Saccharomyces cerevisiae S288C: one gene and its partner. The gene in region 1 interacts genetically with each later gene. Each region holds a gene or a part of one and is shown on either strand. Other genes may lie near its edges.

The links. Genes that interact genetically often act in the same process or in processes that back each other up.
Region 2: of PDR5 (region 1) and RSB1, a mutation in one rescues a mutant of the other (synthetic rescue), as found in Saccharomyces cerevisiae (2 studies listed by BioGRID, with this or other methods).

The regions. Positions count from the first base shown.
Region 1 is NC_001147.6:618,017-625,152, forward strand, and holds PDR5 (ATP-binding cassette multidrug transporter PDR5), read left to right. Parts: upstream 1-1,823; coding exon 1,824-6,359; downstream 6,360-7,136. Other genes in the region: ATG40 (Atg40p), read right to left, coding at 1-272; SLP1 (Slp1p), read left to right, coding at 6,713-7,136. UniProt on the Saccharomyces cerevisiae protein: Active efflux of weakly charged organic compounds of 90 cubic Angstroms to 300 cubic Angstroms surface volume.
Region 2 is NC_001147.6:422,168-425,669, reverse strand, and holds RSB1 (phospholipid-translocating ATPase RSB1), read left to right. Parts: upstream 1-1,937; coding exon 1,938-3,002; downstream 3,003-3,502. Other genes in the region: ETT1 (Ett1p), read left to right, coding at 1-824. UniProt on the Saccharomyces cerevisiae protein: Catalyzes the ATP-dependent translocation of sphingoid long-chain bases (LCBs) from the cytoplasmic site toward the extracytoplasmic side of the membrane (flip-flop). Involved in the establishment of the functional lipid asymmetry of the plasma membrane.

The DNA of each region.
Region 1 (7,136 bases):
AGTAAAGAGGTAAATGGTAAGAAATTCAGAAAGGCATCAATAGGAGTATAGAGGTAAATAAAATGTATGAACTCGTAAAGACTCCAATATTTTAACAGTGATTTATAAATGGTGATGACAACTGGGGACTGACCCAAAGAAGTAGCGGTTTTAGCAGCACTTGCCTTTGAGAAGTCAACGGAAGACGTCAGATAGACCACTTCTAATGTCAGCTGCAAAGGAATGGCAACTGAGGTAAGCAAAAATAAGGGCCATAAAATTAAATTAAACATTAGTTTTCTATGGTGGAGTGAAGCACAGCAGAAAGAACGTTAGGAACCTTAGCTAAAAGATAGAAAAAAAGAGCACTACAAAAATCTTATCCTCGATTTGAAATACTAATGTCGAGCCAGATCAAATTAAATGAAATCGAAATGATATAACGTTGCTCTTGCACGTGTATTTCGCTGCTTAGGAAAGTTGTTTCCACATATTATCTTTTGTACGATTTTAAACAGTAAAATCGATGCATATTAAGGGAGGCCCAATACCCGCGGGCAGTAACCGCATCTTTGGAAATACCGGGTAATAATAAATGCCCGGGAAAAAAGAGCATAAAACAGAGAGGCGATATAGGAATGAATATGTGCTATTTACGGAAGGGAAAAACACTTATTGTTTTTCTGAAATGTGACACAGTAAAGTCCGTCATATACGGTTCTCCGTTGGGCGCTACCACACACATATATATAAGCCTGAATGCAGTAGACAAATTTCAGATATCATACAAAGGAAGCGTTCTCTGGGACCCCTTTCTATGTTTAGATGGTTCACTGAACTTGTTCGTTAACGTAAATATGTCTTCCTCTTTGATTCCAACAATGATATTATAAGGAAATTATCGTCACAATCTAATCAACAAGGACAAAGAAAAGAAAAAGTTGAGAGAGAGAACAAAAGTTCAAATCAAAGAAAAAAAAGAACATCAAATTACCTATTACAATAAACAATTAAGCCATACTCGCAACAATTTGCCATAATAGAAAGCAGCACCTCGTTGGCGCAGTCCCTTACATAGTACACAACATTTATCACTTCACACAATCAGGAGTGGAACTCAATGGAAAACAACACCACACGTATGATCTTACTAATAAAAGAACATGAACGTTCCTCAGCGCGAACGTTCGCATTCTGCGCCTTCGAGCACAGGATAAGTTGCAGGAAGCCATCACATCTATGCAACGATTATCACGACACAACCTTGCCGCCGAGAAAACGTCCGTGGAGAACCATTCGGTCGATTGCTTCCCACGGAACGAGTGGACTGAAACTTAAGACTGCCCCTCTCTTTCCGCGGAATCGCTCATGCCGCGGTGCCACAACATTTTCAGATTTACTAAGACTCCGGTGAGTGTGGGCTCACCCGCGGGTCGTGATCACGATTCAGCACCCTTTGGACTCGTGATTCCGTGGAAAGGTCAGATCTGTATTCCTACTTATGGTAATGTGCTAAAAAAAGAGAAATGTCTCCGCGGAACTCTTCTACGCCGTGGTACGATATCTGTTGAACGTAATCTGAGCAATACAAACAAGGCCTCTCCTATACATATATAATTGTGATGTGCATAACCTTATGGCTGTTCGCTTTTATTATCATACCTTAGAATGAAATCCAAAAGAAAAAAGTCACGCAAAGTTGCAAACATATAACAACTGTGTTAGTTATCACTCGACTTTGTTATTCTAATTATAAATAAATTGGCAACTAGGAACTTTCGAAAAAGAAATTAAAGACCCTTTTAAGTTTTCGTATCCGCTCGTTCGAAAGACTTTAGACAAAAATGCCCGAGGCCAAGCTTAACAATAACGTCAACGACGTTACTAGCTACTCCTCCGCGTCTTCTTCTACTGAAAACGCTGCTGATCTACACAATTATAATGGGTTCGATGAGCATACAGAAGCTCGAATCCAAAAACTGGCAAGGACTCTGACCGCACAGAGTATGCAAAACTCCACTCAATCGGCACCCAACAAAAGTGATGCTCAGTCTATATTTTCTAGCGGTGTGGAAGGTGTAAACCCGATATTCTCTGATCCTGAAGCTCCAGGCTATGACCCAAAATTGGACCCCAACTCCGAAAATTTTTCTAGTGCCGCCTGGGTTAAGAATATGGCTCACCTAAGTGCGGCAGACCCTGACTTTTATAAGCCTTATTCCTTAGGTTGCGCTTGGAAGAACTTAAGTGCTTCTGGTGCTTCCGCAGATGTCGCCTATCAGTCAACTGTGGTTAATATTCCATACAAAATCCTAAAAAGTGGGCTGAGAAAGTTTCAACGTTCTAAAGAAACCAATACTTTCCAAATCTTGAAACCAATGGATGGTTGCCTAAACCCAGGTGAATTGCTAGTCGTTTTAGGTAGACCAGGCTCTGGCTGTACTACTTTATTAAAATCCATCTCTTCAAATACTCATGGTTTTGATCTTGGTGCAGATACTAAAATTTCTTACAGCGGCTACTCAGGTGATGATATTAAGAAACATTTTCGTGGTGAAGTTGTTTACAACGCAGAAGCTGATGTACATCTGCCTCATTTAACAGTCTTCGAAACTTTGGTTACAGTAGCGAGGTTGAAAACCCCACAGAACCGTATCAAGGGTGTCGATAGGGAAAGTTATGCGAATCATTTGGCGGAAGTAGCAATGGCAACGTACGGTTTATCGCATACAAGGAATACAAAAGTTGGTAACGACATCGTCAGAGGTGTTTCCGGTGGTGAAAGGAAGCGTGTCTCCATTGCTGAAGTCTCCATCTGTGGATCCAAATTTCAATGCTGGGATAATGCTACAAGGGGTTTGGATTCCGCTACCGCTTTGGAATTTATTCGTGCCTTAAAGACTCAAGCTGATATTTCCAATACATCTGCCACAGTGGCCATCTATCAATGTTCTCAAGATGCGTACGACTTGTTCAATAAAGTCTGTGTTTTGGATGATGGTTATCAGATCTACTATGGCCCCGCCGATAAGGCCAAGAAGTACTTTGAAGATATGGGGTATGTTTGTCCAAGCAGACAAACCACCGCAGATTTTTTGACCTCAGTTACAAGTCCCTCTGAGAGAACCCTGAACAAAGATATGCTAAAAAAAGGTATTCATATACCACAGACCCCGAAGGAAATGAACGATTACTGGGTAAAATCTCCAAATTACAAAGAGCTAATGAAAGAAGTCGACCAACGATTATTGAATGACGATGAAGCAAGCCGTGAAGCTATTAAGGAAGCCCACATTGCTAAGCAGTCCAAGAGAGCAAGACCTTCCTCTCCTTATACTGTCAGCTACATGATGCAAGTTAAATACCTATTAATCAGAAATATGTGGAGACTGCGAAATAATATCGGGTTTACATTATTTATGATTTTGGGTAACTGTAGTATGGCTTTAATCTTGGGTTCAATGTTTTTCAAGATCATGAAAAAGGGTGATACTTCTACATTCTATTTCCGTGGTTCTGCTATGTTTTTTGCAATTCTATTCAATGCATTTTCTTCTCTGTTAGAAATCTTTTCGTTATATGAGGCCAGACCAATCACTGAAAAACATAGAACATATTCGTTATACCATCCAAGTGCTGACGCTTTTGCATCAGTTCTATCAGAAATACCCTCAAAGTTAATCATCGCTGTTTGCTTCAATATAATCTTCTATTTCTTAGTAGACTTTAGAAGAAATGGTGGTGTATTCTTTTTCTACTTATTAATAAACATTGTCGCGGTTTTCTCCATGTCTCACTTGTTTAGATGTGTTGGTTCCTTAACAAAGACATTGTCAGAAGCTATGGTTCCCGCTTCTATGTTATTGTTGGCTCTATCCATGTATACCGGTTTTGCTATTCCTAAGAAGAAGATCCTACGTTGGTCTAAATGGATTTGGTATATCAATCCGTTGGCTTACTTATTCGAATCTTTGTTAATTAACGAGTTTCATGGTATAAAATTCCCCTGCGCTGAATATGTTCCTCGTGGTCCTGCGTATGCAAACATTTCTAGTACAGAATCTGTTTGTACCGTGGTTGGAGCTGTTCCAGGCCAAGACTATGTTCTGGGTGATGATTTCATTAGAGGAACTTATCAATACTACCACAAAGACAAATGGCGTGGTTTCGGTATTGGTATGGCTTATGTCGTCTTCTTTTTCTTTGTCTATCTATTCTTATGTGAATACAACGAGGGTGCTAAACAAAAAGGTGAAATATTAGTTTTCCCACGCAGTATAGTTAAAAGAATGAAGAAAAGAGGTGTACTAACTGAAAAGAATGCAAATGACCCCGAAAACGTTGGGGAACGTAGTGACTTATCCAGCGATAGGAAAATGCTACAAGAAAGCTCTGAAGAGGAATCCGATACTTACGGAGAAATTGGTTTATCCAAGTCAGAGGCTATATTTCACTGGAGAAACCTTTGTTACGAAGTTCAGATTAAGGCCGAAACAAGACGTATTTTGAACAATGTTGATGGTTGGGTTAAACCAGGTACTTTAACAGCTTTAATGGGTGCTTCAGGTGCTGGTAAAACCACACTTCTGGATTGTTTGGCCGAAAGGGTTACCATGGGTGTTATAACTGGTGATATCTTGGTCAATGGTATTCCCCGTGATAAATCTTTCCCAAGATCCATTGGTTATTGTCAGCAACAAGATTTGCATTTGAAAACTGCCACTGTGAGGGAGTCATTGAGATTTTCTGCTTACCTACGTCAACCAGCTGAAGTTTCCATTGAAGAAAAGAACAGATATGTTGAAGAAGTTATTAAAATTCTTGAAATGGAAAAATATGCTGATGCTGTTGTTGGTGTTGCTGGTGAAGGTTTAAACGTTGAACAAAGAAAAAGATTAACCATTGGTGTTGAATTAACTGCCAAACCAAAACTGTTGGTCTTTTTAGATGAACCTACTTCTGGTTTGGATTCTCAAACTGCTTGGTCTATTTGTCAGCTAATGAAAAAGTTGGCAAATCATGGTCAAGCAATTCTATGTACTATTCACCAACCCTCTGCTATTTTGATGCAAGAATTCGATCGTTTACTATTTATGCAACGTGGTGGTAAGACTGTCTACTTTGGCGACTTGGGCGAAGGTTGTAAAACTATGATCGATTATTTTGAAAGCCATGGTGCTCATAAATGCCCTGCTGACGCCAACCCAGCTGAATGGATGCTAGAAGTTGTTGGTGCAGCTCCAGGCTCTCATGCAAATCAAGATTATTACGAAGTTTGGAGGAATTCTGAAGAGTACAGGGCCGTTCAATCTGAATTAGATTGGATGGAAAGAGAATTACCAAAGAAAGGTTCGATAACTGCAGCTGAGGACAAACACGAATTTTCACAATCAATTATTTATCAAACAAAATTGGTCAGTATTCGTCTATTCCAGCAATATTGGAGATCTCCAGATTATTTATGGTCGAAGTTTATTTTAACTATTTTCAATCAATTGTTCATCGGTTTCACTTTCTTCAAAGCAGGAACCTCGCTACAGGGTTTACAAAATCAAATGTTGGCTGTGTTCATGTTTACGGTTATTTTCAATCCTATTCTACAACAATACCTACCATCTTTTGTCCAGCAAAGAGATTTGTATGAGGCCAGGGAACGCCCCTCAAGGACTTTTTCTTGGATTTCATTTATCTTCGCTCAAATATTCGTGGAAGTTCCATGGAATATATTGGCAGGTACTATTGCTTATTTTATCTACTATTATCCAATTGGATTTTACTCCAACGCGTCTGCAGCTGGCCAGTTGCATGAAAGGGGTGCTTTATTTTGGTTGTTCTCTTGTGCTTTCTACGTTTATGTTGGTTCTATGGGTCTGCTTGTCATTTCATTCAACCAAGTTGCAGAAAGTGCAGCTAACTTAGCCTCTTTGTTGTTTACAATGTCTTTGTCTTTTTGTGGTGTTATGACTACCCCAAGTGCCATGCCTAGATTTTGGATATTCATGTACAGGGTTTCACCTTTGACTTATTTCATTCAGGCTCTGTTGGCTGTTGGTGTTGCTAACGTAGACGTCAAATGCGCTGATTACGAATTGCTAGAATTCACACCACCATCCGGTATGACATGTGGGCAGTACATGGAACCATATTTACAACTAGCAAAGACTGGTTACTTAACTGATGAAAATGCCACTGACACCTGTAGTTTCTGTCAAATATCTACAACCAATGATTACTTAGCTAATGTCAATTCTTTCTACAGTGAGAGATGGAGAAATTATGGTATCTTCATCTGTTATATTGCATTCAATTATATCGCTGGTGTCTTTTTCTACTGGTTAGCAAGAGTGCCTAAAAAGAACGGTAAACTCTCCAAGAAATAATAGAATTTTGAATTTGGTTAAGAAAAGAAACTTACCAAGATGGACTTTTTTAATAAACATACATAATCACTACATATAGGTGCGTAATAATAAGTTTTTATTTTTTTTTTCTTAATTCAGCGAGCTTTCTACATTTCAATTTTCTTGAATTTACCAGCTCTGATAAATCAAAGTTCAATGTCCGAAAGAATTCCGAGAATTTTATTCCTAGGTTATCTCATCGGTACTTTTTTTTTATAGGCATCAGCATTTAGTGTGAAAACATTATTTCTTAACTGTGCCTTACGGTTAAAAAGAAAGGACGCAATGGATATAGTTAAAATATAAGATATATTATATCATTATCTGTCCGAATGGCGAACCGTCTTCTCATATACGGCCTTATTTTGTGGGTAAGTATAATCGGATCTTTTGCATTAGATAGGAACAAAACTGCTCAAAATGCGAAGATTGGTCTACATGATACCACTGTGATCACGACTGGAAGTACAACGAACGTGCAGAAAGAACATTCCTCACCACTATCCACCGGTTCTTTAAGAACCCATGATTTTAGACAGGCCTCTAAAGTTGACATACGGCAGGCTGACATACGGGAAAACGGTGAGAGGAAAGAGCAAGATGCACTAACACAGCCTGCAACACCAAGGAATCCGGGCGATTCGAGTAATTCATTTTTATCGTTCGACGAATGGAAGAAGGTCAAGTCGAAGGAGCACTCATCAGGCCCTGAACGTCATCTTAGTCGAGTGAGGGAGCCAGTCGATCCCTCTTGCT
Region 2 (3,502 bases), 200 kb from region 1:
GTGCTATCGAAAGAGTCGAATTAGGTCTTTCGCATTTCCCTGAATCCCAATTTCTAAAACTAGTTTTAGCAAAGATAATTTTCCAAAGGATTCCGTTGGAATATATTTCCAATCTCCATTTGAAATCGAAGGATAAAAAACTTGATCTTGTAGGACAGCTTGAACATGGTAAGAAGCATTTTTCAATTTATGAAAACGATACTGAATTTACTTTTGAAATCCTACAAATGGTGAATGACTTATTGGACATCGTCGAGAATTTTGGTCGCGAACAATCTATTCAAGAGGGCATAGATAGCGATAATGAAGAGGAAGAGGAACTCATTGATATTGAGTTGGAACCAGAACACCCTGTATATCCCCTACAACAATCGCTAGAAGCGAATTACGAGTGGCTAAGAAACCATTTTGATAAATTGCTTGACAACACAAATACAGATGTGAAAATCTATGCATCAATAGCTAACACCCTAGGGGAACTATACCTAAAAAAAGCTGAAGAACCAAGTAAAGTTTTCTTAAGCCTACAGTACGATGATGGCGGTTCTGAAAAGGTTAGCGACAAGGAAGCCAAGAACGCCCAAGAAACCGCTTTGAAGCACACAAAAAAGGCTTTAGAATACTTGGAAAAGGCTAAACTGGAGGATGATCCGGACACCTGGGTTCAAGTCGCCGAAGCATATATTGACCTAGGTAACCTGCTTGACAATGAAAGTGCTGAACAAGAAGAAGCTTACAAAACCGCCGAAGAAATCTTAGGCAAAGCAAACAAGGCTTCTCATGGTAAATTTCAAGATGTCCTGGACAATTTCTTACAAGGCTGAGCGCATCCACGCTTCTTTTTTATTTTTACTCACTCCTTCTGTTGCCTTAAGTACTCTCAAAAATTACTATTTTTATCTAGTTTTATAGAAAAGCTAAAAGAAAGGCTATATTTATTAGAGCGCGTGTTGAAATATAGTCACAACTTATTTAATGAGTTAAACTTTTGGTTTCCTTTTAGGTTTTTTGGTGCTCAGCCTCGTCATCACCCAATAAAGAGTTTATTATCAATGGCTTCAGTGAAACAAACCAACAAAACTCTCCGAGAGGGCAATCCAGAGCATAGCACAATCTTTTACATCCGCGGAAGCATTCTTGCTCCGTCATATTTCCTTCCGGACTTCGCTCGGACTCTTTTTCCGCGGAAAGATATGGTCTCCGTCGGTCCTCTGTTTCCTATTATATTTGCGCACAGTGACAGTGCGGCAATTGATATGTCAGGGACCACTGGAAAACGACGTTGCCTAGTAGTTGTGGCAGCTCCGATAGTTGACATTCTCATTAGTAACCGAACTTCTTGCACCAAGTCCTGTGCGAGTGCTGCACGGCCATGCCTTGAGGGTTCTGTCGCCCCCTAGCTGTACGTAAGCATCCCCCGTAATTTTTCCGCAAATGTCGAAAAGCTCTTGACTTTTTCTCGCTATCTCGCTCTCTAAAAGGGAATAGGTGTGATTCTGATCGGTTGTACCCACGGAGCTCTAATTTGCCCTGTTTATTTTTCTTTGGTGTGCCTCCCATTTTCACCTAAAACAGTTGAGCTGATGGGCAAAACACTATATAAGGTTTATTATTTGCAGTCGACCCCAGAATCAATAGAAATAAGAAGAGTTTTCCTTGTCGCTTGCACAGTAAAGTATTTTTTTTTTTTCTTTCAGTAGTAGACTTAAAATTCATTACTTTTCTACGTAAACTCTGGTTTCCTAGCAGTTCAAGCAATAGTATACTAAGGGCGTAACTAATTACTGCTGGTTGTTCTAAAATAGATTTCTCACAGTACTTTTTTTCTGATTATAGACGTTGAGAAATTCAAAATGTCCAACGCAACAAATAATACGTTAGGCAGTCTTTTGCCACAGTTAGAAGCAGCAGCTAACAGTAATTCCCTTTATGGTGGTATGGTACCGAACCTTCGTTTTAATATCACGATGATTGTCATTTGGGGTATACTACTGACAATACATGTCGTACAGTTACTGATGCGCCAATACTGGTTTTCAATCGCTTTTATATGCACAGGTATTTTGGAAGTTCTTGGATTTATAGGGAGGACGTGGTCGCATTCTAATGTCGCCGATATGGACGCTTTTCTTTTGAACATGATTTGTTTGACTATTGCACCAGTTTTCACAATGGGTGGTATTTATTATCAACTTGCAAAGCTTATAGAAGTATACGGCCACAGGTTCTCTTTATTGCCCTCTCCAATGGCGTATTCTTTTATTTTCATATGTTCCGATATCGTATCGCTTGTGGTGCAAGCTGTAGGCGGTGGCCTGTGTGGTGTGGCGGTCACAGATGGAACGTCCACAACAACCGGCAATCATGTTTTCATTGCTGGTTTGGCCATTCAAGTTGCATCGATGGCCATCTTTCTTATGTTATGGTTTCACTTCCTTTTCCGTATATATATATCGGTAAGATGGGAACACATAAATTCTAGACCTATCTCATTGAGCCTCTTAAAGATATCGCAAACAGAAGTTGATTATTTATACAGGGAAAAGTTCCATTTTTTGAGACTCGAACCTAAACGTTGGGTTTTTCATTATTTTAATCTGGCAATAACCGTTGCGGTACTAACCATTTTTACCCGTTGTTGTTACCGTTTGGCTGAATTAGTTGTCGGTTGGGATGGCTATCTGATCACACACGAGTGGTATTTTATTATCTTAGATGCATTAATGATGGCCATCGCTACGGTCACTTTGACCATCTTCCACCCTGGATTTGCGTTTAAAGGTAGAAGCACCTCGATTCCAATCACACCGGGCCATGTTGATCCTGAAACTTTACCACATACTGACGATGTTGAAGATATCTTAGATACTTCGGATTCAAAACAATTTGATATTGAAAAGGAGGAATTCCAAGCAAGCATGAAATACCCGATTAGCACCTTCAAACAATTCATGTCCAAAATAGCTAACTTGTTTTCCTCTAAAAAGAAGGCTAAACTTTAGTGATACGTAGAATTTGAATGTCAATCTGATCGTTCATATGCATTTTTCAATTCTTACTTTTTTTCTCGAAGTTCCCGACTATGTTCTGTTTATTTTTTCTCCTATTCAAAAGAACCGGACAGCATTTTTACTTCCTTATATTTCGACATCGTAATATGTACATTTTTTAGTTCACAAGTATTTTTCCCCTTTCAATGCTTTAATCAGCCTTCAACGTCATACATACTTTCTATTTTGTTCCTGTGCCATCGTATAACTTTCCTCGTTTAGTGTTTTCGCCTCAGCTTAATGTAGATCACTGTTTTGACGTTCTTCCATTTTTGGGAACGAACTAAACTAAAAAAAAGAAAACTACAGAGTTTCCCATAGAGAACAGAAAATCCGCTATCGGCAGCTTATAGGGTCATATAATTATGGCGCACATAAGGAAAATAAATTTATTTGAATCAATCAACAGACCTATCTGTTGATATATGAAAGAGAGCAGGAGCGTTAGTTTA